Oryzias latipes: one gene and its partner. The protein of the gene in region 2 interacts with the protein of the main gene of each other region in a pairwise test. Links are inferred from orthologs where the notes say so. Each region holds a gene or a part of one and is shown on either strand. Other genes may lie near its edges.

What was found.
Region 1: the proteins of bag6 (region 2) and atxn2 interact in binary tests that used the Homo sapiens proteins (3 or more experiments, as listed by UniProt). The link is inferred for Oryzias latipes from reciprocal best matches to the Homo sapiens genes BAG6 and ATXN2.

The regions. Positions count from the first base shown.
Region 1 is NC_019867.2:7,491,061-7,494,714, forward strand, and holds part of atxn2 (ataxin-2), read right to left. Parts: intron 3,647-3,654; coding exon 3,522-3,646; intron 3,367-3,521; coding exon 3,275-3,366; intron 3,146-3,274; coding exon 2,957-3,145; intron 2,151-2,956; coding exon 1,978-2,150; intron 1,637-1,977; coding exon 1,388-1,636; intron 1-1,387. UniProt on the Homo sapiens protein: Involved in EGFR trafficking, acting as negative regulator of endocytic EGFR internalization at the plasma membrane.
Region 2 is NC_019874.2:28,120,191-28,123,944, reverse strand, and holds the start of bag6 (large proline-rich protein BAG6), read right to left. Parts: upstream 2,616-3,754; 5' UTR 2,491-2,615; intron 1,733-2,490; exon of another isoform or gene 1,731-1,732; 5' UTR 1,724-1,730; coding exon 1,643-1,723; intron 1,558-1,642; coding exon 1,440-1,557; intron 1,200-1,439; coding exon 985-1,199; intron 1-984. Other genes in the region: glrx3 (glutaredoxin-3), read left to right, coding at 2,667-3,647. UniProt on the Homo sapiens protein: ATP-independent molecular chaperone preventing the aggregation of misfolded and hydrophobic patches-containing proteins.

The sequences.
Region 1 (3,654 bases), on a different chromosome or scaffold from region 2:
GGGGAAAAAAAGTGAGACAAAATATTGGACTAAAAAAAGAAAAAGACAGTAATGCTTTAAGAATGGGGCAAATTTTATACTTAAATCTTTTTATTTAGCTCACAGGATTCAGTATCAAATAAACGAAAGTCTAAACTGTTATACATTGTTGTATCGAGTGCATGTTCTCCATTGCCTTTTGTGTATTCTTTTAAATTTGTATGTATTATTTATGAAGTTAGAAGCATCAAGCTCTAAATTATTCATCCCACCATTTCTAAACAGTGATTATGAGATGCAGCTGCTCAAGGTCATTTGGTCCAAACACTGTCCTGTTACCAGATTACATCTGTGGAACCAATGTAAGGACTGAAATATTTCCCAGTTTACTTCGGTTTCCATGGTGAGTTACTGCCTGTATCCTGCTGACTTATTCCACAGCTTTCAAGAAAACATAGAAAATCGGCCATTTATTAGTAAAATAAATGACAATTGAGGTTCCTTCTCAAGGTTATGAACATCTTTCAAAAACTGGATCCAAGATGGTAAGAAAAGTTTAAAAGTGCGACAGAGTGTTAAATTTGGATCAAACCAAAACTATATTGAGGTCTGAGAAGAACATGTTGACTTTGACTAGTCTGACAGTCAGACACATTTCCAATGTACGCCAGGAGTGCAAATGAGTAGCTAGTGATGGTCTTGTAGAGACATTTTTGGGGGGGGGGGGGGGGGGGGGGGGGGGGGAATGGAAAAAATATTTTTTAAATATAAAAATGTAATGCCAAAGCTTATTAAATTTCCATCTTCATAGACATTTTCAATCCAGTGACCTGCAAATGCAGAAACAAAGTAAACAAAAACTACTAATAATGGACTTTCAAACTTCTGAAAGTATCATTTTAGTGTTAAATATCTCACTGACAACCTCACGAGGCTGTACAGTAGTGGGTTTTATCGATTAAAAGTCTGATAAGTGAGCCCTGCTTTGCTGCAAACAAGGTGAGAAACTGGTGACTTTGCATTTTGCACCTTTGTTAGGCAGAAAGCACAGAAACAGCACAACACCTTGATGCACCCACATGCCAAGATGAAACTGCCTGTATGACTGACAAAGGGTCAGCCTTAAGCACTTCCAATTGGATTCATTCGGTAGGGCGTAAAGCAAACACAGGTAAACACTTTTTTTTGGGTTAATCTGTCAAAAATCTGACCCCAAATCAGTCTGAGAAAGCAATTTCACCACTTCTGTTTGACATTAGACCTGGGCAAATGTGTTTATGAAAGTAGTTTTTCCACTGTATTTATTCCTTTTTGTAACCGTTCTGTTGTTTTTTTAGAGCGTGACAACTTCAATCCCTCAACTTTCATGGAGTCTTTGCCCAGGTCTGCTCCACAATCATGTGGATACCTTCTGAAGACATGCGTTTGGGCAGAGTGGAGGCTGGCGACGTGGGCCCATGGTGAGAAAAGGAGGATGAAGAGGAAGAATAGGAGGGATGGGACGAATGAGAGGAAGGCCTGGAAGGTCGAGAGGGGGGTCTGGAGGGTGGTCTTGTGGGCGTGGTCGCCCGAGGAGGCAGAGAGGAGGGGCCAGACTGGTAACGAGAGGGGGGACGAGAGGAAGGAGACGGACAGGGTGAGGGCCAATGGGATGAACCTAAAAGAGGCAAGGACAAATGATCAAGGATGACGAACTAGCAAAAGTGGAGGCGGAGAAAGAAACAAAAAAGGTATAGCAGTAATAGAAAAAGGGAGGGTTGGCACAACTAAAGCAGAATAACATGAAATGTTTTTTCTTAAAACATTAAAGATCTGAAATAATAACTGTTATTCTTCAAAGGCTACACAAAAAAGGATAGAAAAATGACAATGTAATAAATAAGAGGTGGCCACATTTACGTCACTCCATAGAAAACATTTTTAGCATCAACTAAGAGGTTTTTTTTTTTAATAGTGTAAAAAGTAACCCCTGAACTGCAAGTTCTGCAATAAACATACCTCCGTTGACCACTCTCTGGTCTGTCCCAGAGTTGGGACTGTAGTCGTGGGGTCCCGGCCGAGGAGCTGAAGGTCCAACAGAACCTTGACCCAGACGAGGAGAGTTCTGTCGCCCTGTGCTCCATGACAATGGCTCCCTGTTCCTCTGACCTGGTGGAACGTACTTGTTCTCTCTGCATTTAGATACAAAAAGACAAAACAAGAGGTTTCAGATAAACAGGAGAAGCGTTGATCTGCAGTACCCTCTCAGCTGCACACAGAGAGCCGTTTTAAAATTACAGCGTTGTGAACTATCTTAAAGATAACTTTGACAAAAACTGATTTAAAATTTTAAAGTGTGTTTTAAATTGTTTTACATTTTAGCACAAACAACAGAAAACAAATATAAGTATTAATTACAACCCAAAAAATATGAAAACTAAACCAAAACTAAACCAAAACTATAAAACAGGTCAGCTATTTTTATATTCAGGAAAAAAGAAAACTGTATTTACTTTATTTTGAACTAGAAGCACACGAAACTCCATAGATATATATACACACACACATATTTTTTTAATTACTTGTGGTTCAACAAGCAGCTGCTGGAAGTCCTGTCTGTGAAGGAACAGATTCATTACGACTTGGTTCAGTTCAGTGTAGTTTAATTTTTAGGAACTTTTCCTCCTAACAATGTATTCAGGGCCTACACAGCTTTATGGAAGTGCGTGTAGATTTAGATAACAGGCAGGTCTAGTTGCACAACCTCACATAGTTCACTTTGAGAAACTGTTCCTGCAAGGGTAAAAAAAAGATAAAAAGAACTAAAAACTATTGTACTTTTTTTTTAATCTACTGTTGAATTTCAATGGAACTTGAAGTATAGAACTACTGAAGAAGATTAACATAATAAAATCCCAACATGCTATTAACCCCCTACTAAACCTCAACGCAGAGATCTGTACATGATGATGGTTTGTGGCGTGCGTCTTGCTCTCACCTGCCAAGTGTGTGAGTCTCCCTGTCCCCTCGCACCACAGCAGTGTACTTTTCCTCCTCAGTGCGTTCATCGTTCTCCAACGCCACGCGGGCCTTGTACGAGGCGCTGGCCTCAATCTCCTCTGCCAGCTGAGCAGCACGAGCTTCTCTCTTCAGGAACTCTTCAGAGTTGTCACGCTCCAAGGGGAGTCTGGGAAACAAGATCGAATTGGTCGAGAACGGTGCACAATGTTGACAGCCAGGCTTATCTAGCATGCGTTTCCAGTGTTCCCCGCCTTGTGTTAGCAATATGTAGATGAAGAAGCAGGTCAGAGCTTACGTATATGTGGACAGGCTGCTGTCATACGTGGACAAGACTCCATACTTCTCCTCGTTGTACTTGAACATATCATTGGGATCCCATCCGTTTGACTGGTTTGAGGAGAAAGTAGAATTTCACAGAAAGGTCTAAATAAATTGCTAAAACTCTGATGTGTTTTTGTCAATATTGTGGCTAAAATAATAACTTTTGATGTACCACATGGGAGGCATCAACATTACTGTCATGCTTGTGTTCATTTTCTCACCACATCTGTATCTAGAGACTCGAGGCTGTCCGAATTGTGACCATCACCTCCATCCCAGGGCTCCAGGTCCTTCTCTTTGTGCTCTCCATTGATCCTTCCAGTGACGGCTGCATCTGTGAAGTTGTCTAATTAA
Region 2 (3,754 bases):
TTACTTTCTCCCTCTTTGAGACCTAATTAGACCCCTAATATGCATGAAAATCCGCAAAACTGATTCAAAAATTTGTCATAAAAAGTAAACGATTTGTTCTCTTCCAACAAAAAAAACTAAGTAAAATTGGGCCAGTAAAACCTTTTTTTTATATATATATATCCCCTAAGAAAGAGCCATCCAGTAAAAATCATTAAATTTCTTTATGCTCCATCTTCACTGATGTCATGGACCATGGAATGTAGAGGAGCGGGTGGGGTTTTACTGTGGCACCATTTTCAGATGGGGCTGCAGAGTTAGAGGATGAGCATCACGCCTTAATCCTGTTCTGTTGCAGCACAGGCCGAGGAGAAGCTGCTGGGGGCAGCAGACAGACCTGGGGGGCTGTTGATGGGCCCATGGTGCAGGGTGGCAATGGTCATTCAACAGTCGTTGCAGCTTTAAATGTATTTGTTTTTAGGATAATTTAGCAAACCCATCAAGATGACATGAACAGAGTTCATATGCCGGAGTCTCTAAAGTCCATCTTTGTCCATTTTCCCTTTAACATCTCCACACAATATGATCGGACATAGTGGAAAATGCTGAGATGAAAACAATGCAGAGATCACACAGAACAATTCACTTGTGCTCTGCGTGATAAACCGACTACATCTAGATGGTTTTAAAATCTGAAATCAATCCCTGTGGTTTTATTTTCACTTTGAACGAACCCATCTGACTTTCATGTCATTTTGATCCAGAAGACTTGGTCCTTTTAAGAAAAATTTCCTGCAGGTTTGTGATCAAAGGTTGTTAACAAAAGCAGACAGCCTCATGGCAGATTGAAGGCAGCCGTTTAGAAAAGTAATGTTTCAACTTGACTGAACTCAGATCTTCATGCCGAAACACAGAGTTTAGTTGCCCTGAGCAACTGGAATCTCGTCATCTGTTGAGCAGTGCTGCCTTCATCCCTGACAACGCACACCAACAATGCAGACCTACCTGTATCTGCTGGGGGTCCATGATATTGACGGGGAGGTTGAAGGTTCCAAGCATGACATAGCTGTTGGCATTGCGATCGTGTGGAGGCACCTGCGATGCTCCCTGGGAGGATGAAGACTGCCCGCTGTCGGCTGCGGTGGCCCCTGACCCCGAGCCAGGCTGGGAGGGTGGAGGGGGGGCCCGCTCCACAAGGTGAATCACCTTTCCAGCCACATCTACAAGAGTAGCGGAGAATATGGTCAGCTAAAACAGAAGCAGTGGCAAATCAGCAGAAAGAGCAGATGGAACCAAAAACTAATTCAATGACAGAATTTTTACTTAAAAGAAATAGTTTTGAAATGCTCCTTGGTGGTGTGATTGAAAGGAGGCAGAAGGGATGTTCAGATGGAGAGACTCCCTGAAGCAACAAGCTGAAAGGTTAAGAGGAGGAAGATTTAATATATCCTTTGACTAACTGTAGTCTGCCAGCGTCCTTTCATCCTGCAGTACTCTGCCCTGGTAGATGAGCCTCTGTTTGTCCACAGGGATGCCCACTGAAGGAGAAATGTGCTCTTTGAACTCTTTAACTGTCAGCTGCAAAACAATGGATCATTTCAGTCAGATCATAAAAGACAAAAGGAAACTACCCAAATATTTACAGCAGGAACTTTCCATTTACCTGAGCACCGACTGAGTAGGTTCTGCTCTGAGAGTCCAGAGTTTTGACCGTCACTTCTATGTCTGAGGTTTGTTCATCCATAGCGTTCCTGCAATTGTATTACATCTTCAATTACAAATTATTCTGTTTATGTGACTTTTTAAAGTGTTTGTACACTTTTACAAAAATTTTGATAAGCACCAGGTTATTTAACAATCTGTTCAACAAGCATGGTGCGTCCACGGCATGTTTATAAGTTTATGAAGAACAGTGAGCGTAGTTTCCAATTTTTCAGCAATCATCTAGATCACCTCTTCTTTTTAACAAACAGGCAACGTTGAAGTGAATTTATTAACCAGCCTTTAGTCTAGAAAATAAAATCTCTAACTAAGGAATCCGGATAACTACAATCAGCTGAATTATTTAGCTCTAATTTAAAATACATTATTAACTGAGCTATTTCCTAAACAAGAATTTTAATAAACATACAATTAACGTAAAATAGCATCTATATCTTTATGTTAGACTCAGTGGGTTAAATTTGATTTAATGCTTTGTTTTTTTCCCAAAGACGGACTCCCTGTACTAGCGTTAGCCAAAAACAGTTAGCCCGGCTGTATTCGCTAAACAAGGACAGGAGCGATGTAATATTAAACTAAGATTTAGGACAGACAGTATAACAAAAGATAGAAAGTAACATATCGCCACTTGCTCTTCAGCAGGATTACTTTTTTTAGGAACCAAATAAACGCCGACTGGCTAATTAGCCAAACAGATTAGCTAAAGATGCTAACTGATCTGTCGTGTCGCTACTAATGCTTAAGCGCAGAACATTCCGTTTTTTATGCGTCACACCGTCAAACGCTTACCTTTTAAATCATACAATGTTTTTTAACGTATCCAGAGTCCACAGGAGGCTCTTATATTCAGAAAGCCGAGCACTTCTCCGGTGCGTCGCGGCTATGCTACAGCTAACAGCTTTTAGGGCTGAACGGATGTGACGTCAGAAAGCCGCCGGACTGCTGTCGAGGTCAAAGAAGCAAAGATGGCGAATGTGCTAGAGGCGACGAGCCGACAACAGTTCGAGGATTTCCTTGCAAAAGCTGGAAAAAACCTCGCGGTTGTACATTTCCAGGCGGCATGGGCTCCTCAGTGCGGCGACATGAACGAAGTGATGGCCGAGCTGGCCAAGGCACACGCGCACGCGACGTTTGTGAAGCTGGAGGCGGAGGCTGTTCCCGATGTGTCGGAAAAGTATGACATATCCTCCGTCCCCACTTTTATCTTCTTCAAGGGGGGTGAGAAGGTGGATCGTCTGGACGGGGCGCACGCTGCGGAGCTGACTAAGAAGGTCCAGGGCCTGGCGGGTAGCGGGCCCGCCCCAGGAGGAGCCGCGGACGGCGGCGCCGCGGACTTGAACCAGCGGCTGAAGAAGCTGATCAACGCGGCGCCCTGCGTGCTGTTCATGAAGGGCTCCCCGCAGGAGCCCCGCTGCGGCTTCAGCCGCCAGATGGTGGCGCTGCTCAAGGAGCACAGCGTCCAGTTCAGCACCTTTGACATCCTGTCAGACGAAGAGGTCCGTCAGGGCCTGAAGGCGTACTCCAACTGGCCCACCTACCCCCAGCTGTACGTGAACGGAGAGCTGCTGGGGGGGCTGGACATCGTGAAGGAGCTGGCCGAGTCCGGGGAGCTGGAGACCACCTGCCCAAAGGCCGTGACCCTGGAGCACCGCCTGAAGGCCATCATCAACCAGAGCCCCGTCATGCTGTTCATGAAGGGCAACAAGGAGGCGGCGCGCTGTGGCTTCAGCAGGCAGATCCTGGAGGTCCTGAACTCCACGGGGGTGGACTTTGACACCTTTGACATCCTGTCGGACGAAGAGGTCCGTCAGGGCCTGAAGGCGTACTCCAACTGGCCCACCTATCCCCAGCTCTACGTGAAAGGGGAGCTGATCGGGGGCCTGGACATAGTGAAGGAGCTGAAGGAGAGTGGGGAGCTGGAGTCGGTACTGAGGGGGGAGTCGTAGATGGACGGGGAACAGGACATCACTGCACAGGCCTGCACCAGCTGCTGCACCCCTCAGAGGTCCCAGGAGGTCAAAGAAGCTGCTCGTCGGCTTTGATCGTGGGAAAC